Caenorhabditis elegans: one gene and its partners. The protein of the gene in region 1 interacts with the protein of each later gene in a pairwise test. Each region holds a gene or a part of one and is shown in the gene's direction. Other genes may lie near its edges. The genes, in order: skp-1, tfbm-1, pho-11 and eif-2Bdelta.

Region 1 (6,756 bases):
TGATACGCAAAAATTGTCCGAATTGTACTCATATTTTGCCAATTTTGACTTGTTATACCAAGTCTGTAAGAGTTTTCCTAATTTTTAGAACGATTTTATAATGCAAATTTTAAATTCCTAAAAATAGGGAACAAATGGAGGGGTGCAAAACTATTAGAGGTGCAAAACTAATAGAGCGTGCAAAACTAATTTTCGATTAGTGATTTTAGATGCAAAACTAATGGAGGTGCAAAACTAATAGAGGTGCCTAACTATTTAATAGAGGAAATACGGTAAATTTCAGTTTTAGCCAGTTGAGAGAGGTTGAGCCGCAGGCTCGATCGACACCGTCCGGTTAAAAAGTTAATAGAATCTTTTTCCATTGAATCAAAGTTATTGTTAATTTGTTTAGTTTTCAACAAACTCATTGAGTTTCCTGTCTTCTTGGAGGTTTTGGTACGCGCGCACGTGCGCTCTACTGACCAATGGCCGTGGCCTAGCTTTCTTGGTGGCTGTATATTTCAGCGCGAAATTCGTCAGTGCGACGCGAGCTACATTTATTGATTTTTCAACATTTTATTCGATAAATGTTTTCTGAGATTTGTTTTTCATTTATATTTAAATACACACTGAAAAAATAAAACCACGTGGCGTGGATGCGCGAATTTCATGAAATTAAACTTCATTTTCGAAATCTATTAAAATACGCCACGAAGTTTTATTATTTTCAATGTAAGTCTCGTTTTATCTTTTCCTTTTATCAATCGATTTCAACGCTTTCAACTTATTTTTTTGGAATTGTGGTTTTTAGTTCAAATCTTCTTAACTGTATTTCGAATTTTTAATCTCTACCTGTTCGAAATAGATTCCTCAAGATTAAGATACCTAGTTGTTTTTCATTGATTTCAGAAAATGGCACCCGGGACCAAAAAAAAGTCGGATATGGCAAAATTCACATTCTACAAAGATCGCTTGATGACATTCAAAAATTTCGAATATGATAGAGACCCGGATGCAAAATGCACGTCTCAAGCGGTTTGTCCATTTTCGTGTTTTAAATAAAATTATTCTTGTTTTAGGTTGCTCAAGCCGGATTTTACTGCACCGGTCCTCAGTCTGGCAAATGTGCATTTTGCAACAAGGAACTTGATTTTGACCCAGAAGACGATCCGTGGTACGAGCACACGAAACGTGATGAACCGTGCGAGTTTGTACGGATTGGAAAGCTCGATGACTCGGAATTAACTATTAACGATACCGTTCGTCTCTCACAAACCGCCATGATTATGACTAAACTCTTTGAGCATGAGATGATGATAAATAATTTGTCTAATCATTCTTCTTCTGATGCTCTCTTCGATCAGCTGAAAAAAGTACCGAACACAGCATCGACAACAAAATCTAACAGCCGCCGCGGCAAATAATTTTTCTACATCACTTACTGCAACTTATCCAATTATTGATTTGATCTCATATACTCGATTTAATCACTGTTCAATAAACACTTAATTCATTATTTTATTATTCATTCAATGTTTTTGTTTTGAAATTATAACTTGTGTTTCATCGGCACTACAATATCTTCCAGTTTTGTATTTGATTCTTTTTTTGTCTAAAAAAACAATTTCAGGACAGTATTTCATCAGGATGTCGATGAAACTACGAGAGTGAGTGTATTTCACTGATTATCATGTAAAACCAATGTTTTTTAGTATCCTTCCTGCTCCTGTGGCGGCAGACGAAGCAGCTTCACAGATTCGACGAGATCCTTGGTTTGGTGGGCGCGATAACGAACCATCCGCCGCACTCGTATCGAAGGAACCACCGCCGTACGGAAAACGGACCAGTTTTCGACCAAGAGGGCCTGAAGTGAGATTGAAAATATTAATATTCTTCTTAATTTTTCTTTTCCAGGATTTTGGCGATGGCGGAGCGTTCCCTGAAATTCACGTTGCTCAGTTTCCTCTCGGATTAGGTCTTGGAGATATGAGAGGAAAGCCAGAAAATACGCTCGCCTTGCAATATGGAACTGATGGAAAGTTACAACACGATGCTATTGCTCGTATCGGACATGTTAAGGATAAAGTTGTCTACTCCAAGCTTAATGATATGAAAGCCAAGACGTGGAACGAGGATGATGATGATATTCAGAAACCAGACGATGACGCTGTTATCGATGCTACGGAGAAGACAAGAATGGCTTTGGAAAAAATCGTAAATTCAAAAGTAGCCTCAGCACTTCCTGTTCGTCATGCCGACAAGTTAGCACCTGCTCAATATATCAGATACACTCCAAGTCAGCAGAATGGAGCTGCTGGATCACAACAGCGCATCATCAGAATGGTTGAAGAACAAAAAGATCCGATGGAACCACCAAAGTTCAAAATCAATCAGAAGATTCCTAGAGCACCACCATCTCCACCGGCACCAGTCATGCATTCTCCTCCAAGAAAAATGACAGCTAAAGATCAAAACGATTGGAAGATTCCACCATGTATTTCAAATTGGAAAAATCCAAAAGGATTCACAGTTGGGTTGGACAAACGATTGGCTGCTGATGGACGTGGTCTCCAACAGACTCATATTAATGAAAACTTTGCGAAGCTTGCTGATGCTTTGTACATTGCTGATAGAAAAGCTCGTGAAGAGGTTGAGACACGTGCTCAGCTTGAAAGACGCGTTGCTCAAAATAAGAAGTCTGAGCAAGAGGCTAAAATGGCAGAAGCCGCAGCAAAAGCCCGCCAGGAAAGATCAGCGATGCGGAGAAAGGACGATGAAGATGATGAACAAGTCAAAGTTCGCGAAGAAATTCGACGTGATCGTCTCGACGATATCAGGAAAGAAAGAAATATTGCTCGTTCACGACCAGATAAAGCTGACAAGCTTCGCAAAGAGCGTGAAAGAGATATTTCGGAGAAAATTGTGCTTGGTTTGCCGGACACGAATCAGAAACGAACTGGCGAACCACAGTTCGATCAAAGATTGTTTGATAAAACCCAGGTTTCAGTTCCTTCTTCGATAAAATTTAACTAATATATTTATTTTTCAGGGACTCGACAGTGGAGCAATGGACGATGATACTTACAATCCTTATGATGCTGCGTGGCGTGGCGGTGACAGTGTTCAACAGCACGTTTATCGACCGAGTTAGTTTTTCTTGCTTATTTTCAAATATAAATTAAAATTAGTAACGGGTCTAGGTATTTTGAATGTATATATATATATATACCCACAATGCTCTAAAATGAACGAATTTCATAATGAAACGTTCCAGAAGTTTTTCAAAAAAAAAGTTTTATGGCGTTTTAAAATTTCAAAAAAAAACATTATTTTAGCTGAAATCTTATTTTGGCAGTTTATCTTATGCTATTCTAAGGTACATTTAAAATCGAAAGGTTACCGAAATTGATTACCTATGTTTGCTTAAAAAGTACCTCAATTGACGATATTACGTGATATTAAAATTTAAAAAAAGATTATAATTCAAAAAAAATCATTTTTGAACCTCTGCGACACGAAAAATTCGCCAAAATTGATTCATTTTTTCTAAATTTCGAACCGCCATAAAAATCTAAACGTTCAAAAATAACTAGAACCGTTAGTTCTTTAATATTTCAAAATTGAAATGATTTCCTAATGTATGTCTGAACTGAGGAATTTGTGACATTCTAAAATTTATTGTTTTTCTAATTCATTGGTGTTGGAATTCACAAAACTCTTTGATGATACTGATGTATTTGACTTTCATGTCCGTTCTGGTTCATTTGTCGTTAAAAATAGAATCACAACTTAGGTGCCTAGTATTTGATAAGACGTTTGTAGTACTGCAGTCATTACGATTAAAATGACGTTATGCAAATACGAATTTCGAAAATAATTGTATTTTTGTCAAAACAGGAAGAAATGACGATTTATAAAACTTTTGCAGGCAAAAATCTCGACAACGATGTTTATGGTGGCGATTTGGACAAGATCATCGAACAGAAGAATCGGTTTGTAGCTGATAAAGGATTTTCAGGAGCAGAGGGCTCGAGTCGTGGATCTGGACCTGTTCAGGTTAGTCAGTTGATCTGTTGTCAGAAATTTTAACTACGTTACTAAAATAGCTGGGAATTTTGAGAATTTGGGCGCTGGCTCGTTGTTGATGAGCGTCAAAAATTGACTGATAAGTAACGACGAATTGAACCAATTCGTTGATTTGTGCGGTCATTATCATAAATGGATCATTAATTTACGTCATTCCGAAAAGACACGCACAGCAGTGTGTTTTGGAAGTAGAAAAGATTCTTTACATTCTTGGTTTATGAGCTTCAATTGTCGTGCGTAATATGTTTGACATTATTGATAAAATAAGATTAAAATAATTAAAATATGTCAAAGTTCAGTTTTCATCCATTCTCTTTATGGTCGAAATGAACTATTGATGTATTTTAACTCACGATTAATTTGATTGTAAAAGTTAACCAATTTTAGATATTCTAATTAGAGTTATAATAAATAATTATGGATTCATCAATATTGTAGTTTTATACAATGCTCAGAGCTTATTGAACAAAAACTAATTATATCTTTTCTATCATAGCCGATTAGCTTTTCTTTTTACTTAAGTTCGGGATGCAGATTCTCTTCAGTTTAACACATAAAATGTATTAAATTACTTTACTGTTTCTAGTCACATTTCGAGCTGAACGATCAGCATTTTATCGAGTTGTGTCTACGGAGGCTGGTGTTTGCGAGCATCTTTCATAACCCAATCACTATCAGTACTTACGAAATATCACGTCTTATCACCAACAAGCCAGAAGCATTAGAACCAACATGTGATTTACTCTAAAAGTTGAAATGACTGAAATACTAGACAGAACTAGAGCGGTGTTGACTATATTTCGGTCTATTTTTAGGAAATGATAACTTTTTGCTCCGAATATACGTGTAAATGAAACAGCTCAAATCAAAATTTCACTCTCAAAGTGGCATTGTAGTTAAAAATACGTATTGCATTTTTTAACAAAAAAATCTTAGTTTTAGTTTTCGCTTATTATGAAAGTGGACGAAATAAACAGTTGTCCTCCCAGTTTTTATAGTATTTATTCGTATTTGGAAATTCTAGGGATCGAACCTGTAGAAATAATCGAAATTTATCAAAAAATTGAAATTTTTGAAAAATTTGGCATTTACTATATTGAAAACACCAATTTTTCAAATGTTTAAACCATGTTCATAGTTTAGATTTGAACAGGAAACGTATTTTTTTTCCGGAATTGTTTGCAGCGAACTCGGGGAGCTGGGTAAACTTTTTCGGCGAAATGGTGTTAATTGTAGACTAACATCTAAACTGAGTGATAAGCAGTAAGCGGATAAGCCAACGATCATCCGTGTCGATTTATAAATTGGTTCAAGCAGCGTTCAAAGGGCAAAACATTAGATGATGATGATGACAGAAAATACGATTTTCATGCCATTTTAAGAATGACAATGATAATTCTAGTATATTTCATGACAATATTTCCGAATCGTGATTGTGCATGGCATAGTTTCGAAATTTCTTACAAAGTTTATTATAAACTTATCAAGAAAATGATGACGATGCGGAATCGTCTAGAATTACAGGACAGACACGATGGCGGCCGATTTGGCATGTTTGCGTGTGACGATCGAATTGTTGCAGAACGCGTAGAAAATGCTATAATCTGGTCAAAGTGCATTTGATTCCAACGAAATAGTTTATACGCATTGAGTTTAACTGTGAATCGAACGTTATTGAAATTTAGAAAATTCCATCTGCGAAATTGAGTGTGTGGACCCGTAGTATTCAGAAATATATGTATTTACTGAATTATTTTTTTGAAACCTAATTTCTAAAGATTTCATAAGGAAATTGCATAAAAGATGCTCTTAAAATGACTGTGACTACTTCTAAAATTTACTTATCAATGAGTCATAAAACATTAAATGTCACTGTGCATTTATGAATCACTACAAAATGTTAACCTTTTTATTTCAGTTCGAGAAGGATCAAGATGTTTTCGGATTGTCATCACTTTTCGAGCACACCAAAGAAAAGAAACGAGGTGGGGATGGTGGAGACTCCCGTGGAGAATCAAAGAGGTCTCGACGCGACTAATTTTAATATATTTTTTATTTGTTTTCTGTTATTTTTTCTCAACTTCTTTTTTGGAAAGAATCTCTGTAACTCTTCTGTAGTTGGATGTTTGCACAAAGATGAATCAAAACCGTGTCAATTTTTATTAATAACATTTCGAAAGAAGACCAAATTATGTCAGCAAAGAATGAGCGAATTTGAAAAATTATGGCAAAGAGGATTCGGGAGAGGGGAATATTGAAGATGTTCTTAGGAATGGTTGATTTGATTATTGAGTTGCAAAATACTGATCAAGAAATCTTTTTGAGCATTTTCTTGTTGAAGACCACTAACTGCTTGCCGGAGAGCTTTTACTTCCAACTCGAGTTGCTCCTTCTCATCATGAAGACTTTTCACATTCTCCACCTTTTGGCGCATTTGAGCACGGTACTGGCGAGCATAAAGACGGCGATGACGCTTCTTTTGACTGTGAGCATCTTGTCCATCTGCAATTTCTTGTTGTGGTCGACCACGACGGATTTTACCAGGAGCAGCAGAACTTTCAGTTGAAGAGCATCTCTGAAAATACAAATAATATTACAAGATTTTGAGAAAATATGATATGCTTACCGAGCTGGATGTGGTAGATGTTCCCAAAGAAGCAGAACTTTCAAATGGCAAAACAGGCAGATTGA
Region 2 (7,538 bases), on another chromosome or scaffold:
TACTGCGGATTTTTCATCAATCTAAATTGCAATTGCCGTAGTTTTTCTTTAAAAATATATTTAAAACTAAGAATATCATTAAAAACACTTAAATAAAAATCTCGATTCCGCAGCAACAAAAATTTGAAATTACAGTACACTTTAAAGATGCACAACTCTTCGCATTTTATTAAAATTTGTCGTGTCGAGACCGGGTACCGTATTTTTGCAGCTGTGTAATAGCGAAACCAACAAAATCAAATTTTCCTTTCCATCAATTCCCCACTTCAAAATGTTTGAATTTTCCCGCCGCAAGTAAAACAATTTTAGGCCAAAAGCTTTCTCTCTTTTAAATTTCGCTCAAACGCGCTCTGCTGTCACTCCATAGCGCCGCTGGTTGAAAATAATAAACTTTTTGTGTTGTGTCACGTTATTTTTTTTGCGCGTCGAGTCTTTCTCGATTCTCTACTAACACTTTGTTCATTTTTAACAACAAAATTTTCGTGCCGCCATGAAGCTAACATCTGTCATATTCAACAGTTTCGGTACATTCAGAAAAGAAAACTTCTCGATTAAAAAAAAAATAATTCGATTTCGTTTCAGTTCGAAAAATGCCGTGCCGGCCGATTGTGCTCTCCGGACCATCGGGTGGAGGAAAAAGTACGATTTTGACGAGAGCCATGCAGGAATACCCAAATAGCTTTGCTTTCAGCGTTTCTCGTGAGTTTTTGGCAAAATTTGATTCCAAATTTCGAGAAAAAACCTCATTTTTGCTCAAATCTTAAATTTTTAATCACCATAAAAAATTTTTGAGTAATTTTTGTAAAGTTCCGGTATAAAATTCGTTTGTCTGGGCACATTTTGTGTATTTCCAAAAAAATTAAATAGTTTTACAGACACAACGAGACAGCCAAGAGCCGGTGAGGAGCACGGAAAACACTATTACTTCACGGAAAAGGAGAAGATGCAGGAAATGATTAAAAATAACGAGTTTCTGGAGTTCGCCACGTTTAGCGGAAATACTTATGGAACTAGGTTGGTTTTTGGAATCGAATATTTTTGGAACAGAACAAAAAAATTTATTTTTATTTTTACAGCAAGAAAACCGTCCTAGAAATCGAAAATAGCGGAAAGATCTGCGTTCTGGATATTGAGTTGCAAGGAGTTCGAAACATCAAGAATAGTCATCTCGACGCCAGATACATTCTGATCCGTGCCCCATCCATCAAGCTTCTCGAGGAAAGACTCAGAGCAAGAGGAACCGAAACCGAGGAGAGCCTCTCGAAGCGTCTTCAACATGCATCTGAGGATTTAGTTGAAAGTGAGCGTTTTTTGCCTTTTTTGAAAAAAGAAAAGTAATATAAATTTTAATTTAATTTGTTTTCAGTCGAAAAAAATCCAACGCTCTTCGACAAAGTGATTGTGAACGATGATTTGGAACGTGCCTATAAGGAATTCGTCGATCTTCTTCGTGATGATCTCGAAAAAACCTCCAAAAAATAATAAATTATTTTTTAAAAATTGTCTCTATTCAGTCATTCCTCCAATTTTTTCTGTCTTGATGAACTTGAGTGTCTTCTGGTTGTGGTAGGTACTCTTTATCTCTCTCTTTCAATACACCTCTTTCAAATTTGCTTTATTCCAACAAACTTTGTTCCCTTTTTTTATTTATTGCTCCCTCCTTTTTTTTTGCAATTCAGTTTTGTCTTCTTTAGTCAACTTCTCAAGTTATTTTCTTTTTGTCTCATTCATTTCATAATAATTATTTGATTTCGTATTAATACGTATTGAATACAATAATTTTGGTTTTTAAAAAACTGTTCCAAATGGCAGATACTATTTTCAGTGAGAATTCGGATTTTTTTAGAGAAAAAAATCTGAACTATTTTCATAGATGGCTTCTGCTTCACGTCTCCCGCCGCTCCCGGCACTACGAGATTTCATCCATATGTACAGGTTGAGAGCGAAGAAAATTCTTTCGCAGAATTATTTAATGGATATGAATATCACAAGAAAGGTTGGATTTCTGAAATTTTTTATTTGCAAAATTCCAAAAAATTAATTTAAAAATTAAAAATTTTCCGGTTTTTAAATCAAAAATATTACGGGAACTCAAAATTCTGAAAATGCGTACTACACAGCATATTTGACGCGCAAAATATCTCGTAGCGAAAGATACAGTAATTCTTTAAATGACTACTGTAGCGGGCTCGACAATTAAAAAAAAAATTTTTTTTGAAAATCGAGCCCGTAAATCGGCACTAGCGCTACAGTAGTCATTTAACTAAATTTTCGCTACGAGATATTTTGCGCGTCAAATATGTTGTGCAATACGCATTCTCAGAGTTTGTACGGTAATTTTAGTTGAAACAGAGCGTGCTCCTTTAAAAAGTGTGGTAGTTTCAACATTTTTTCTTGAAAAATTATAATTAGTAAGTGAAAATGTATTTAGATAAACAAGAAAAATACTGTAGTCTTTAAAAATTTTTAAATTTTTTTTGAAAATTCAAATTTTAAGTCCCATTTTTGCAACTAAACAACATTAAAAAATTTTTAAAAAATTCAAATTTTAAGTCCTATTTTTTCAATTAATTTTTTTTAACTTTTAGAAATTTTTTCCAACATTTCGAATTTTAATTCCCATCGCAATTTTTGAAAATTTCAAAGAATCAAATATAAAAATCTTCTATAATTCATTAATTTTCAGATAGCAAAACACGCAAAAGTGATCGAAAAAGACTGGGTAATCGAGATCGGACCGGGTCCTGGCGGAATTACACGAGCAATTCTTGAAGCTGGAGCCTCGAGGCTTGACGTCGTAGAAATCGATAATAGATTTATTCCGCCGTTACAGGTTTGTCATTTTTGGAAATTATAAATTATTATCAAAGGGCAAAGTGTGTGTGTGTGAACTGATAAGGAATCAAAATCATGATGACGGAGCGTTTTACCGGAAAAATGTTCTCGGAGAATTTCGAAATTAGTTTATTTTGAGGGAAAATGGAAAAAAAAAAATGAAAAATCGAATTTCAGCATCTCGCGGAAGCAGCCGATTCTCGAATGTTCATCCATCATCAGGATGCACTTCGAACGGAAATTGGAGATATTTGGAAAAATGAAACCGCGAGACCCGAATCTGTGGATTGGCATGATTCAAATCTACCTGCAATGCATGTCATTGGGAATTTACCATTTAATATTGCTTCACCGCTTATTATTAAGTAAGATCTGAAAAGATGTGTAGAAATTAGAAAATAAATAAATAAATAAAAATGTTTGCTTAAAATTTGGATAAAAAACAAAAAATCCAATTTATCAACAAAAAACCAAACAAAAAATCATTTAATTTTAAACGGGACAAAACGGATAATTTTCAAAAAATATTAGAACCGAAGAATTTTTGTTGACTTTTGTGTTTATTGGCCCCAAAAAACCAAAAAAGCCATGTTTCTTTAAACAAAACCCCAGAAAAACAAATAACAAAAGCCCAGGTACCAAAAAATAATAAAAAAAATTGAAATTTGCGAAATACCAAAAAAAATCCAAAAAAATAATTTTGATGCTCGAATTTATTTAAAAACAATCCTGAAAAAGTGAAAAAATGTTTGAGATCTTTTTGTGGTCTAGAAAAATAAAAAAAAATTTTTTTTCGTCAAAATACCAGCAAAAAAAAAAACAAAAATTAAAATTTGCGAAAAACCAAAAAACACCAAAAAAAATTTGATGCTTGAATTTTTTTTTCAAAAAAAAAACAGTGAAAAAGTAAAAAAATTTGTTGGGTTTTTTTTTTTGGTTTTTTTGGTAAAAAAACCGAAAAAAGTCCCAACCCTGGTGGGAATTCAAGCCTGCAAACTTATATTTTTATAGTTCCAGATTTTCAAGCAAAAAAAATATTTAGCATTGCATGCTTTTATTTTAGAACCCTTTTTTTTGGTCTAGAAAATACCAAAAAATACCAACAAAAAAAAACAGTTTTGGTCAAAATACCAAAAAAAAAGCCTAAAAACTCCCGGCCCTGTACGTGATACAGAATTTTCCGTGATGTATCAACCATTTCTAGGTATCTCCGTGACATGTCATACCGACGAGGAGTTTGGCAGTACGGTCGAGTTCCACTAACATTAACTTTTCAACTGGAAGTCGCCAAACGTCTGTGCTCTCCGATCGCCTGTGATACTCGGTCTCGTATCTCTATTATGTCTCAATACGTGGCAGAGCCTAAGATGGTTTTTCAGATTTCCGGTAAGTTTTTTTGCTCAAATTTCAATCCAAGAAAATTCAAATTTAGGAGCGTCGTCGCGAAAATTTTAGTTTTCCTATGACCCTTAAACACAACTTTCTGGACCCCTTTCGGTATCCTTTTCCAAAATTTATAGGTAGTAGGGCAGCGGAGTTAGAGCGGAGTTACAGCGGAGTTTTAGCAGTCGATGAGAAGTTCTCGTCTGCAAAATGCCCCTCACCGCCTTGAGAACTTGAAATTCCCAATAATTAGAAGCATTATGTCATTACACGGCAGCCGGCAAAAATTGATGTCGCGTCGGCGACATTAAACATGCGCGGAAAATTAAATAACGACTTTTATTGCAACAGTTCGCATGCCAACGCTACATTGTTTTTTGTCGGCTGCAGGTTATCTATAGATATGTTCTCCGAGTAATCATTATTAGATCCTTCGGATGGAAGGGGCCACGGGTCTCCGTACCCGTCAAAGCCCAGTTGGAGAGGATCTCAAAAAATCACGCAACTCCTCGAAGGCATTTTAAACCAACTGAGCAATGCTCCCCGTCCCTTAATTTTGGAAAATGATTCTGAAAAGGATCCAAAAATGAAAACCAAGATGAAACCCAGAATTTTGAACAATTTGAATCAAAGATGTCAAAGATGAAAAATCGAAATATCGAGAAAAATGTTTAGAAAATCAAAAAAAAAATGCTGTAAAACACAATTTGATGAGAAAACGTGATAAGAAAATGCCCAAAAATTCAAGCAATTCTCAAAAATCGAAAAAAAAATTTTTTTGAACTAAATAAACTTTTGGATTTTACAGAAATATAAAATCTCTCTTGATCCTAATCAAAGCTAAATACAAAAATCGAAATTTTTCGTCAAAAACACGAAATCAAACTGAAAATTTTGTTTGATTGCTTTATTTTTAATTTTAGGAAAAATTTGAAAAAAGGGAAAAGTAATTAAAAAAGTTGCGAATATCGAAAACATTTTCAGGCTCATGTTTCGTGCCAAGACCTCAAGTTGACGTTGGAGTTGTTCGTTTCGTACCACGGAAGACTCCTCTAGTGAATACATCGTTTGAAGTTCTCGAGAAAGTTTGTCGCCAAGTGTTCCATTACCGTCAAAAGTATGTAACAAAAGGATTGAAAACTCTGTATCCTGAGGAATTGGAAGACGAGCTTTCAGATGATCTACTGAAAAAGTGTCGAATCGATCCGACGACAACGTCGATTCGGCTCGGAATTGAACAATTTGCGGATCTTGCTGAAGGTTATAATGAGCAGTGTATACGGTAAGACACTCTGACAGATTTATGTGAATCGTCGCGAGACCCAACAAAAAAAAGTTGAGAACCTTTAAATGTGTTTCTTTTCTGAAAAAAGTAGCAGCTGACTTTGCGTCAAGCAACTCAGCCGTAGAATAAATATTTGAAGAAAAAATAAACTGAAAATGTTCTCTCAAAATTTGGAAGGATGATTTTTTTACACGACGATCTGTCGATTTACGCAGTCTGTGTACTCCTCGAGGAGAACTGCGAGTTAATTGTGTTCAAAGAATATCACATTTTTCGGCTGAAATTTTCGAATTTTGATTTTTCGCGCTAATCAGGTTTGTATTACGGGAACGCAACATATCTGACGCGAAAAATATCTTGTAGCGACAACTACAGTACCTCTTAACTGACTACTGTGGCGTTTGTGTCGATTTACGGGCTCGATTTTCTAAATTAATTAAACTCATTTATTCATCGATAGCATATTAAAATTAAGCAAAAATGAGAAAATAAAATCGACACAAGAGCTACAGTAGTAATTTAAAAAATTACTGTAGTTTTCGCTACGAGATATTTTGCGCGTCAGATATGTTGCGCGATACGCATTCTCCGAGTTTTGTGATCCCGTAATATTGAAAATGCAAAAATTATTTACTGAAAGCGCGAAAAAAACCTAAAACCTGTACAAACTTCTTCTCGGGGAGTACACAATCGACACATGATCTCAATTTTTAATAACTTCCTCGTGATAAATGAATGATACGCACACAAATATATACTCAATCCTCCAAAATGTGCACTCGTGAGTGAAACAATTTTGAAGAAATCAGTGCGAATTGATCTCTCGTGGCCGGGAAAGTTTCGACAAATAGACAGATTATTCGATTTCGAGCATCAAACACCAAAACACAGACCTTCTTTCAATACTACACAAACGTCACATTTTGGTATTTTTCGCCGAAAAAGTACGGTATCAGGTCTTGACACGACATATTTTTGTTTAATGCAAAATAAAACGGAGCAACAAAAGTTTGAAACTACAGTACTCTTTAAAGGCGCACACGATTTGCATCTAATAAAAGTTTTAAACATCGAGAATGATTTCGAAGATATTTAACGATACATTTTCAAGAACTGCAAATTAGAAATTTCTTGAAATAAAAATGCCTTTAATATCTTTAAAAATAGTATATTTCACAATACCAACTAATTAAAAATTGAATTGAAGATTCTGATTCTTTTTAGTTGAAATTCAATAATTTTTCATTTCAGATATCCGGGCTTATTCCTCTATGACTACACGAACAAGCTGCATAATCTGGAAGATTTATCAAAAGAACCCAATGCTCTTCCACCTCCTGTACCCATCTTTGCACCGGCTCCGACAATTGACTCGGCGGACAACACGTGGTCGCTCAAGAATTTTAATTGTTCATAATTTTGTTATATTATAGATTGTTTATTGTTGAGATTGTTTAGATTTGTTATAAATTTTGGAAAGATAAAACATTAAGAAATTGAAAGAATTTTAGGAAGTGACTTTGTTGATGTACTCCTTGAACTCATCGAAAGTGATTTTGGAGTCTCCGTCTTTGTCGGCCTCCTTGATGACTTGAATCAAAAATTTGAGGTTCGTCTTGAACACGGGATCCTTCTTATCGTCCTTCTCAGCTCCCAACAACATGCAGATCACATCATCTTTGCTGATGAATCCAGACATATCCTTGTCGTGGAGAGAAAACATCTCACGGAGTTCATGTTCTGGAAATAATTAGAAAATTTATAGAATTTGGCAACAAAAAAAAAGATAAAGCTCACCCCAAGTAGCCATGACGGAAAGTTCAAGACTGAGCTTCACTCGAAAACCGTTGGAGGCGGGTAGGAGGTGCCGAGTGGGTAAATAAATGGAAAAGCATCTCAGAGAAAAAGAAAAGAGAGAGAATGTTTTGTCAATTGATTGTTTGTTTTACTAATTTGAATTTTCGAAAGTCGTTGTTTGTAAGTGTCAAACATTGACGATTAGCAAATGAAAACAGGACACTTTTTTTTTTGAGAA
Region 3 (4,684 bases), on another chromosome or scaffold:
ACAATGATTACGGTAGCCAACGGAGCGTGACTAACTCATTGAATCCAGAATTTGTTGGGGTAAGCAGGGCATTCATTATTTGCCATTTTTTAATGTTTAAAAGTTTATATCATCGCAGTAAAAGTAACTTTTACATACTGTAATCCAAACATTGACTGATCTAATCCGATAATAGTTTCAGAAATGGGATGACGAGACGTATGGAGATTGGCCCACCATCCAGAAATCAACATAAATATCCAATTTTAGTCTTCTACTAGTTGTTTTTACCGTTTGTATTCATATCAAATTTTCATGATGATCTTTTGTTTCCATCTCCAAGCTTTCACTTTTTGGTTGTTTTAATTTTTTTTTTCTGTTGAAATTGAGTGTTTTTTTTCTGTTGAAATTGAGTGTTCCATTTTTATATGAAATGGATTTTGTCTGTCTTGGAAATTCTTTTGAAGACATTGAATCACAGAAGAATGTTTAAACATTTTCAGAAATTGTACGGAAAAAGTTGGGACCAAGAGAATTATGGTAAAATAAAACTTGTAATATGTATTACAATTTAGAAATAAAAAACTATAAATTTTCAAAGTTGGTTTTAAGTGCGTACAATATAATAGCCATTAAAAAGATATAGAGTAACCATGAAGAAAAATTCAACTAATACCTTTATTTTTCTAATTGAGAACTAACAGTTCAAATCCTTTAATGGATACTTTACAAATTAACTGTTGTTTTTGTTGGTAGGACTATTCACGAACGAACTAAAAAACGCATTAAATGGCTCTGCCAACTTTAGTCAAATTTTTTAACAGATTAATGCTTTTTGCAAACTCTCGCTATGCATTGGCGGTGAGAGACGCAGATAATACTTTTTTCTCTGGACGTGAAAAACACAAAGGATAACCGTTTTGCCATCTGCGTCTCTTCTTTCACACGCTATTTTGGCGGTGGACGAGGAATTCTCCTCTTCCAGGATTTTCAAGGCCATTTGCTCACATTTCTCAAGTTTTCTTGTCCGCGAGAAAACATGAATTTTGAGGCAGCCAGCGAGCACGTGCCAAAAATTTTTGGTAAACTTCGCCCTGTGCCAAGACCTAATCAGGATGTGCCTAACGCCTGCCCAAGATCTGGAAAACGCAAAAAAATATATCTGGAAAAAATACTAAAAACTAAAAACATGAATAGTTCTGACAGAGACTGTTTCATGAATTTTGCAACATTCGATAAATGGTACTTTCAAAAGTGCTCAAAGATCACGGCCATGGTCACAAACTTTTAGATAGCATATATTTCGACTTTAGACCAGAATTGATAAAATATCCATTCGATAAGAAAAAATGTTGCAGACCTAGTTTGTTTACATATTCTTTCACACCAATTTTATGAGTTCAGTCTATCATCACTCTGAAAAGTACATGGCTTTATCATGTAATCACGAGAAAATCGAAACGCGGGATAGTTATATCTATTAAACTGACCATATTTTTATTCATTTTCTATCTGAAGATATGATTTTGAAACAATTTTTATGGTTTTTTTAACGAGCTCAACTCTTTAAATAGGTTGTTCTGATATAGGAACATTTGTAGATCAAAAATTATGATGATCTCAATTTTCAGTCTGTTGGCTTCAACAGCCATTTTGGTATTTGCTAATGGGCAGAGCAATGTCAAATTGGAGTTTGTTCAAGCGGTAAGTTATATGAAATCCTAAATGCCAAATTTAGTCCTCAGTGAAAGTTACTTGGGTAGTACAATTTATTTTTAATTATTTCAAGATGTGGAGACACGGAGAACGTGCATCTCAAGTTGATCAATACCCAATTTACGAAAAAGATTGGATTTATGGAGGAGGTGGTCTCGGAGAGCTGACTGCAATTGGAATGGGAGAAATGAACGAACTTGGATGGCTTATTCGTAAAAGATATGTTACTAAATTGAAGTTTTTGACACCAAAGTATGCGTCCAGAGAGGTATACCCTAAAAATGTTAGAACGTGCCAAAATATGATTATTTCCAGGTATATTTTAGATCAACTAATTTCAATCGTACCATTATTTCGGCACAATCACTTTTGTACGGGCTGTTTCCACCAAGCTTGTATGATGTCAAAAGTAGGTTGTCAAAAAATTGATTAAATTTTTTATGCCAAACGGTTCAAACTTAAAGCCAATATGACTTTTTCTGTTGAACGAATAGATAAATTTAGTCCAGTGATATCTTTACTTTTTAATTTTTCATATTGAAATTGTCTGCACGTCTCTTATAAAATTAGCAAAAATCCAACTATTATATTACCTCTAATGCATTAGTTTTGATGATTACCATATTCAGACGTTGACTATCCATACTCCCCACTCACTTGGTTCCCTGGATTCACGTTTGTTCCAGTTCACGTCGATGGTCCGGATCAGTGTGTATGTTGTAAATTTACATTGGTTCTCGAGTAGTCTTAAATAATCTTACTGCGCGTGCCAGTTAAAATTACAAAATTATTACAAACCTTTCCAGGCCGCTAGTCAGAACTGTCCATGCACAAGATACGATCTTCTCCAAGGGCAGATGTTGACTCTTCCGGAAGTTTTGCCAAAGTATACGCAGGTAAGGTTTGATTGAATTATACTATCATCGGTAACCGTATTCACGTTGTGATGGCTTTGTCGGTAACTATGAACAGGCGCCTAAAATGCCTGCCTTCCGCCTAGACGCTTGCCTACTAGTAGACCTACTGTCAAGTTTTTCGTGAACGATTGTTCATTTATCATTCGATCAAATGCGTAAAGCTACAATATGTGAATCTCAAATATTGTAGTTTAAATCCTGACTGCCTGAATGTAGAAAATAGACGGTAGGCAGGCACGTGCCTCCTCTGAATTTCAATTTTTAGGTGGTCCTACTTAACCGTCGTGTCGGTGGATATTACAACATGACATCTGGCCTAGACTCCTTCACAACATACCCAGATACGTGGAAATGCCAGAGAGCATATTTCAACAGAACTATGTACGCGAAGCTTCCATGGTACAATGAAGAACTCTACTATCAAGCCCAAGTTACATATGCTCCGGTTAAGGGATTTTTAGAGGGAAATTTTGGTTAGTTGGGACGAGATTAAAGTCTCAGTGAAGCTTGGTTTCAGAGAATCCTGCTGTCACTTCTTCCGGGCTCGATGTGGGTCTTGAAATCAAAAAAGTTCGATCCGGAGTTATTATCAATGAAGTTTTCAATCGTGCCAATGAAAAATTGAATTGTGCAGAGCTGGGACAAAACTGCACTAGCTATTTGAATAAGCTGAAATTCTATGGATATTCTATTGTAAGAGATTTTAAAGTTTACTCCATAATTTAAGTTCAAAAATGCATGATATCTAGCCACGATCTTACCGTAGTTGGGAATACGGTAGACTACGGTAGTATTACTGTACTTGACTGGAAGTTAAGTATACCATCATAGTAGGTAGGAATCTGTTCATCCCTAGCTACCTCTGCCTACCTCATGCCGAGGCACCAGTCAAGGCTTGTCGGAATGTAGGCAAGCATTGTAGGTAACTCTAAGAAATTGAAATATAAAAAAAAAGAAAAGAAAAGCTAGTTACTTTTCATGCGAATTTTTTCAGGATTTTCAGAAAAAAAAATTTTGACAAAAAAAATGTTTTTTTTAATTTTTGAAATCAATTTTCCAAGATCTCACAACAAATTCGTTTTCCAGCATGACAACAATGTGTACGGTGTCCTGGTTGCTCTTGGTATTCCACAAATCGCTAACACACTTGACGGATGGCCAGCATACGCAGCTGGAATATTTATGGAATTCCACAGAAACACGTCAACAAACGAGAGATTCTTCAAGGTATTCCAGAGAGAAACCAGAAAATTCGAACAATTAAATTTTCAGGTTCTGTACCGTGAAGGAGATGACACTCCGATTTCTGATGTGACAAGTCAACTTCCAATTTGTAATGGAGCCACCTTGTGTCCACTTGGAGCTCTTCAGACTTTGGCCGAGACACTGAAGCCACTTCCAGATATTACTACTGTAAGCTCTTGTTTCCAAAAATTTCGACTTTATAAAAAATTTTCAGCTCTGCAAAACTCCTCTATGAATTACTGGAACTGTAATTTTTGTTGTAACTCAATTTTTATATTTTTTTATGAACTATTTCATTAAAACTCTTTTTGTTCACACAATCCTAAACCGGTATTATAGGCAAAAGACAAAAAAGTAACAAACAACGGACTAAAGAAGTATTTACACATTTCACGGAAATTTGTCAAAATTGACAAATTATCCTTGATTAAGAGGAGCCTGTCCCATTGGCTTCAGATTTTCGGAAATTTCGAATTTGCAAGCGGTGAGTTTCTTGATATCATCTACAGTAAGATCCTTCCTGACTTCGATCAATGTCAATCCGTTCTTTGTGTCCACGTCGAAAACTGCCATATCAGTAATGATTCGGGAAATTACTCCTTTGCCGGTCAGAGGAAGTTCGCAGTGCTCTAGAATTTTTGGCTCTCCGTTCTTCGATACATGCTCCATTACAACGATCACACGGGCTCCGGGAGCAGAGACAAGATCCATTGCACCGCCCATTCCTTTCACCAATTTTCCCTGGAAAATTTTAGAAATTTATTAAGATGGAAGATTAAGCGGAAAAGTATATTTTTATGAAGTTGTCTAAATTTTTTGTTTTTGGG
Region 4 (5,993 bases), 2.1 Mb from region 1:
TATGGAGATGATTCTTTTCTCAAGTTTCCAAAGCTTTGTTTTCTGAAAAAAAAAACTTCTAAATGCATGTTTCATCGTATTTATTTTAATATTGAATTAAGGCAGGGTTGGCTTAATTTATTGAGTAATGAAAAACTTTTTAAAACTTCAATGTTTCCAATTTTAGATCTCTGTTATATATGTTCTCTGACTATCAAAAATTAGTTTACTGAACTTAAATGTCTATGTGATTTAGAATTGACACTCTAAATTTCACCTGTTTGTATTCTTGCTCAAAACTCAAAAGGTCATTATGATTTTAGTCACTTAATTGGTCAACTTTTAATATGTAAGATTCTAATGTGTAGATTTTGTGAAAATAAACGAATAAATCAGGGATATATTGTTCTTGTTTCGGATTCTCAATTGCACTGTTTGCTGGACACTTTTTTACCGTTACGGTACAGTTAACACGTGAGCATTGACACATTTTCAAAGTGTTTAGTGTGCACTTTTTTTCAGAAACTTCCGTCGAAAATATCATTCGGGAGTTGGCCAGCTTCTCCCATACTGGTTCCCAATTGTATGCAGCATTCTATGGGGATTCATTTGCTTTTACTGTTATGGAGAAACTTCGGAGAGAAGATCATTTTTTAGGTGAGAATCATGGTTGACTGTGTTCTAAAATAAGTATTATTCAGGGCTAATCTACTTGAAAACTATCGTATTGATATCGACGATTATGCATATATGAGTGCAAATTTTTGGCCTTTAGATAAATTTGGAAATACAGCTCCTGATGTAAAATCATTCACAGGGGTCGTCGTGATACTGATCATTGTGGTAAATAATACGGATTAAGAAAAAAACAACTAAATTTTCCAGGGATCTTCATTTTGTAGCGTGCTCTTTTTTGGTATAAAATGCTATAGGTGTATATCTAAAAAATTGAAGAGCACTGGTATTATATCTGAAACTTCGAGAGCCCTTCAGAACCAGTTACTCCAGGCACTTGTCGTTCAAACGGCCATACCATTACTTCTCATGTATGTACCCGCCGGAGTATTTTTCACAGCTCCAATGCTGAATATCGAATTGAATTTGAAACATCCTATAATTGGGCATGCTGTTGCTTTGTATCCGGTTTTGGATCCGCTTCCAACTATTATTATTATCAAATCTTATCGACAGGGATGCATCGAGACTGTTAAGAAAATTATTTGTTGTGGACAGAACATGCCTATTGTAAGATGGATTAACCGACAGGAGAATAACGTTAATCCTATAAGTTACACGATGAGCAACTGAGTATTCGGCTTTTTTTTAAAGATTTCCTGACACGAGTCAGTATTGACAAGTATATAATCTTTTTAATTTCAAAATAGTATTTTTTAGTTCAGTTATTTTGAATTCTTGAATAAAATGCATGCATTGTTGTTATTGTTGGAATTAGTGCTTAGAATTTGCATTGTGGCACTACGCATAGCATCAAAATGTTTAATACTTTCATTTAAAGAATATTTAATGATTTCCTGTTACAAGAATTGAAATTTCTTCTCTAAATTAAATTAATTTGTCGATTTCCAAAAATACAACAAAAAAATAAATCAACGCGCACATAATGCGCCAACAGAGATTGCTGACGTACTTTTCGTGCATGACGCGTTTCTCGTGTTTCATTTCAAGCGTTCGGACACCAGCTTTTATTCTCTTTATTTTAATATTTTCTTGTAGTTTCGTCTGTAAATATTCGTTTAAATGAGCGATAAAAATATTAATACTGACAAAAAGCATCCTGCTGATAAATTAAAGGTTTGATTTTTTATTGTGAAATTGTGTTTTCAACGCTTTACTCAATTTTTGTTGCACTTGAGAATTTTTTGGGTTTCGTCGTCCTGAAAGTTTCTGCCGCCGCGAACGAACTTCACAATAATCTTCATTTCAAAGTACTAACAATCTATCTCATTTTATCTATGTCGTTAACTCAGAAACCATTAGACTTTGCATCAATATTTCAGGAAACTTTCGAAAAGCTGAACAACGAAGTAAAGTTACTTGGAATGATTCTCGGAGTAAAAAGTGAAAATAACCAGCAAGTGGTTCCGCCAACAACTGCAGAAGAGCCAGCTCAAGGTGAAGACAAAAATCAGTATCACGTAAGTGTTTCATAAGAATTTTAAGCAATAAATCTAATAATTTTCAGAAAGACGTGACTGCTGAAGATAAAAAAGCGAGAAAAGCAGCCAAGGCAGCTGAGAAAAAAGCGAGAGGTATCTTATTTATCTTTTTTTCCTAAAAAATAAATTAATTTTTTCAGCTGAAAAATCTGTAGCCAATAAAGCCGCCGCCGCCGCTGGGAGCACTCAAAATCAAGGGCAAAAGAAGGAAAAACCGCCAAAAGAGCATTCAGCAGTTCCATCTGAATCCACTACTAAACTTATCGAAGAAAATGCACAGCTCACGAAAACCACAGAACAGCTTGCAGCGAAAATGGAAACCTTGGTGATTGAAGATGTGAAGATTAATGGAAGTCTAAAGCCGGCGATAAAGAAATCTACTGGTGTTGAGAAAAATGTTCGACATGTTCATAACGTTATAATGCCTTCTGTGGTCACATTTGGTGAGTTTTTGATAATTTAATTTATTAGATTTGTTCTTTTGAAGATCTTCCAAAAAATCAAACGAAAACGTTGCCGTCTGCATCTGATTCTGACGAAGCAGTAGCATCAGAAATTGAATCAACAGCAATCGCCCAATTGGATGATGCGACGTCTTTTGTACACATTCATCCTGCATTCTTAACGCTTATGGCTAAAGCAGAATTGGAAAAAATTCCAGATGTTGAAACAGTTTGTATTCAATTTATTGCTGCTTTCAAAGAGGTAAAATATTATTTTTCAATCAAACTGTATAATTATTTTATTTTAGTTTCTGCGAGATTGGACAGTAGAACGAGAAAAGAATAATATCAATGCTTCCACATTCGGTCACGACCTCGATTTGGCTATTCGTCCACAACTTGCTCATATGACTCAAAATGGTCACTGGCCATTGCCATTTGCACTTGGGAATACAGTTCGATTGTTGAAAAGAACAATCAAACGACTTGAGGAAAGCACTAATATGAAGTGTGAAGAAGAATTACAAGTTTATCTGGAAGATACTTTGGCTATAAATTTCTGTCACGCGTACAAAGCCATCAGTCAACTGCTTGTTCGCAAAATTCAACAATTCAAAAAAGTTGTCGTGTTCGATTGGTGTCCTGTTGTGAATCATGTTCTTCTGGAAGCCAAACAACAAATTCCTGATATGCAATTGTCTGTTATTGATGCAAATTCCAATGGACGAGGTACGCGGCATGTGAAGAGTTTCGTAGATCAAGGATATAATGTCAAATACGTCACAATGAAAGGAGCTTCATGGGCGTCCCTGGCAGTGAGTTTTTTTTTAAAGCAGTATCGGTTCTAAGTGGTCTCAAATGCCAAAAAGAGCATTAAATTTGAAAAAAAAAGACAGACGATTTTTAAATTTTTGCTAATCTCCTAATTTGAATTGTCTCGCTTTTGTCTCTAAACTCCCCCAATAGAATCGAATTTTTCCAATTTCGACGAAACTTCTTTTTTTTTTTGCGGTTTTTTTCTGAATTTTAATAAGAAAACGATCATAAATATTAAAAAATATTTTTCGTATTTTTAAAGAACAAAAAATAACGTGTTTCTTGTAGAATCTCCGAAGGGTTAAATATTTTTTAATTACATTTTTTTTTGATATGAAAAATTTTTTTGGACATTTATTATATTTAAAATTTAGATTAAAATTTAGAAAACAGCGCAAAAAAATTATTTTCGTCGAAATCGGAAAAAAAAAACCGAAAGTGCGGCACGGCTGAAAAAGAGCGGTAATTAAAAAGAAAAGATTAACAAGAATTAGACATCAATTAATGTTTTTTTTCTTTTGTGGCATTTCGGAATTTGGGACCTGTTTGAGAATTTTACAGTGAAATTCCCATCTCAAAATGATATTTTCAGAGTGGAGTTCTCATTCTCGGATGTTCTGCTATTTTTGCAAATGGTGCTGTTGCTGCACGAAAAGGAGCATTGGCTGTAGTTTTGTGTGCTAATCACTACAATATTCCAGTAATTGTAGTTGCTGAACATTTCAAATTCATCGATAAGGTTTGTGATTTTTTCTACCTTTTTATTGGGAAATGAACCGAAACAAAAAATAGTTTATCGCTTGATTTGTTCAATGATTTGATGGGATGAATCGTGTACTCTCACGTCGACTAGTCACATGGTTTTGTTAAATGGCACGTTGATTTATGCTGATGACCACGAGATCGGTCAATGAATATGTACTGAAAAATTTTGAAAAGCAAAGTTATGATAAGAACTCAAAGAACGGATATTATGAACCTTTTGATCTGTCTTTAGAAATCTGCACCTGTAAAGTCAGATGTTGAATTTTTGTTGAAAAAAAATTAATGATCGATCATTAAAACATCTAAATTTATTGTAGTAGAGTTTTAGATTGGTTGAATACAAATTTAAAGGTGGAACACCAAAATCTGAAATTTTGCTTTTTTTTTTGTAATGAGACGTTATGAAAATTTCCCAAAAAAAAGTATTGCGGTTCAAAGTTTTGAAAAAATAATTTTATTTTCTTTTTTTCAAAACTTTGAACTGGTATAACTTCCTTTTTTTGGAAATTTCAGAACTTCTCATTACGAAATTTGGTAGTTTCGGGTATTTTTTGGTCTATAAAAGAAAGGTCGCAGATTTCGGTATTTCACATTCAAATAATTAAAATAAAAAAACACTGGTCATAACAAAATCAAACACAATTATATTTTTTCAGGGGCAAGTCTATCAGCGAGTCGCTCTTCTTGGCCGTCAGAATATTGAGTGCATCCAATCGGATCTTGTAACTGCTGTCGTAACAGATCTTCGAATCCTTGGACCAACATCAGCTCCAGCAGTTCTCAAGGCAAAGGCGTTGACTGATATGGCTTAATCAATCTAAAAACTAGAATTAATTTGAAACCACGGGTTAATCTGTTGTCGTCTTACGTTAGTTGATTCAATTTTTCGGTTCTTATGTAGTAGCCGTACCGTGAGAGATTTCTGACCAAGTTTTGAAAAATTTCCCGTTGTCTTGTTTTTAATAATTTAACTGTTTTTTTGGTAGTTTTCTAAGATTCATGATTTTGGAAAGAAATTAATTGAAAATTTGGGAAAAATATTTTTAGGATACGGCTAATATATAAGTCCATTTTTTCAAAACGGTATCCAGATTTAAGTATTTTTGCTTCCATGTGCCCTCTAACTGTTTCTTTTTGTTCTGTTTTAAATCACCAATATCATGTTTTCATAAATTTTTATTGTTCCTTTTTAAAATTTAGAAAAATAATAACAATCACCCGTCGTGTTCTGTTGTTGAGCTAAATTAGATGTCTAAACTATTTACAAATACAGAAAAACCAGAGTTCCAAAGATTAAAAGAAAAGAACAAATGGAACGAGGGAAGCAATAGAGATCGACAGAATCGATGAAGCTCTGATAAGTGGAGCTTGTACCAATTTTGGATGTGAAATTGGTTGATCAGCGACTGAATTGCTTTGCGCTACGACATCAGTGTTCTTTGGTGGAATTGATGGGGTTGGCATTCTGTATGTCTTGATATCAGCACAAACTTGTGGCCATTTAGCAACAGCATTCGTATCAAGTGCCATTTTTTCCATGCTTGCAAATGACTTACGAGTTAGGTCAATCACAAGTTGAGCAGTCTCCGAATCACATTCATGTGCAATTGTTGGAACATCACAATGAAGAGTACAAGTGATATATTCACATCCTTGAGCCAAATATTGTTCAGCCTTTGTAGTATCCCCGCTGAGCACAAGATTCTTGAAATTTTCAGTCATGGATGAGATGGCATTGTGATGTGGAGTACATGTTTTGACGCATTCCTTATTTGGCTTCATTTTGATAAGACATGGGAACTTCTCACGAATC

What was found.
Region 2: the proteins of skp-1 (region 1) and tfbm-1 interact in a two-hybrid assay, tested with the Caenorhabditis elegans proteins (one study listed by BioGRID).
Region 3: the proteins of skp-1 (region 1) and pho-11 interact in a two-hybrid assay, tested with the Caenorhabditis elegans proteins (one study listed by BioGRID).
Region 4: the proteins of skp-1 (region 1) and eif-2Bdelta interact in a two-hybrid assay, tested with the Caenorhabditis elegans proteins (one study listed by BioGRID).

Annotation. Positions count from the first base shown.
Region 1 is NC_003283.11:11,643,872-11,650,627, forward strand, and holds skp-1 (mammalian SKIP (Ski interacting protein) homolog), read left to right. Parts: upstream 1-1,609; 5' UTR 1,610-1,626; coding exon 1,627-1,646; intron 1,647-1,691; coding exon 1,692-1,848; intron 1,849-1,893; coding exon 1,894-2,979; intron 2,980-3,028; coding exon 3,029-3,125; intron 3,126-3,907; coding exon 3,908-4,035; intron 4,036-5,983; coding exon 5,984-6,103; 3' UTR 6,104-6,219; downstream 6,220-6,756. Other genes in the region: Chromosomal passenger complex protein bir-1, read left to right, coding at 892-1,014, 1,059-1,403; Transcription factor zip-10, read right to left, coding at 6,332-6,640, 6,692-6,756.
Region 2 is NC_003279.8:3,853,628-3,861,165, reverse strand, and holds tfbm-1 (Dimethyladenosine transferase 1, mitochondrial), read left to right. Parts: upstream 1-1,873; coding exon 1,874-1,996; intron 1,997-2,686; coding exon 2,687-2,833; intron 2,834-3,012; coding exon 3,013-3,200; intron 3,201-4,039; coding exon 4,040-4,221; intron 4,222-5,202; coding exon 5,203-5,500; intron 5,501-6,754; coding exon 6,755-6,920; 3' UTR 6,921-7,005; downstream 7,006-7,538. Other genes in the region: guk-1 (guanylate kinase), read left to right, coding at 583-699, 876-1,014, 1,077-1,300, 1,367-1,482; T03F1.11 (EF-hand domain-containing protein), read right to left, coding at 7,011-7,243, 7,301-7,313. UniProt on the Caenorhabditis elegans protein: Probable S-adenosyl-L-methionine-dependent methyltransferase which specifically dimethylates mitochondrial 12S rRNA at the conserved stem loop. Also required for basal transcription of mitochondrial DNA.
Region 3 is NC_003280.10:9,930,273-9,934,956, forward strand, and holds pho-11 (Putative acid phosphatase 11), read left to right. Parts: upstream 1-1,576; 5' UTR 1,577-1,590; coding exon 1,591-1,683; intron 1,684-1,768; coding exon 1,769-1,963; intron 1,964-2,010; coding exon 2,011-2,104; intron 2,105-2,324; coding exon 2,325-2,407; intron 2,408-2,501; coding exon 2,502-2,591; intron 2,592-2,877; coding exon 2,878-3,085; intron 3,086-3,129; coding exon 3,130-3,305; intron 3,306-3,698; coding exon 3,699-3,839; intron 3,840-3,884; coding exon 3,885-4,025; intron 4,026-4,071; coding exon 4,072-4,092; 3' UTR 4,093-4,159; downstream 4,160-4,684. Other genes in the region: C05C10.2 (DNA2/NAM7 helicase-like C-terminal domain-containing protein), read left to right, coding at 1-59, 176-235; C05C10.3 (putative succinyl-CoA:3-ketoacid coenzyme A transferase, mitochondrial), read right to left, coding at 4,275-4,598.
Region 4 is NC_003283.11:9,512,180-9,518,172, forward strand, and holds eif-2Bdelta (Translation initiation factor eIF2B subunit delta), read left to right. Parts: upstream 1-1,644; 5' UTR 1,645-1,737; coding exon 1,738-1,791; intron 1,792-1,997; coding exon 1,998-2,135; intron 2,136-2,182; coding exon 2,183-2,249; intron 2,250-2,296; coding exon 2,297-2,599; intron 2,600-2,643; coding exon 2,644-2,861; intron 2,862-2,907; coding exon 2,908-3,414; intron 3,415-4,007; coding exon 4,008-4,154; intron 4,155-4,836; coding exon 4,837-4,992; 3' UTR 4,993-5,470; downstream 5,471-5,993. Other genes in the region: C50F4.8 (CPG4 domain-containing protein), read right to left, coding at 5,474-5,993.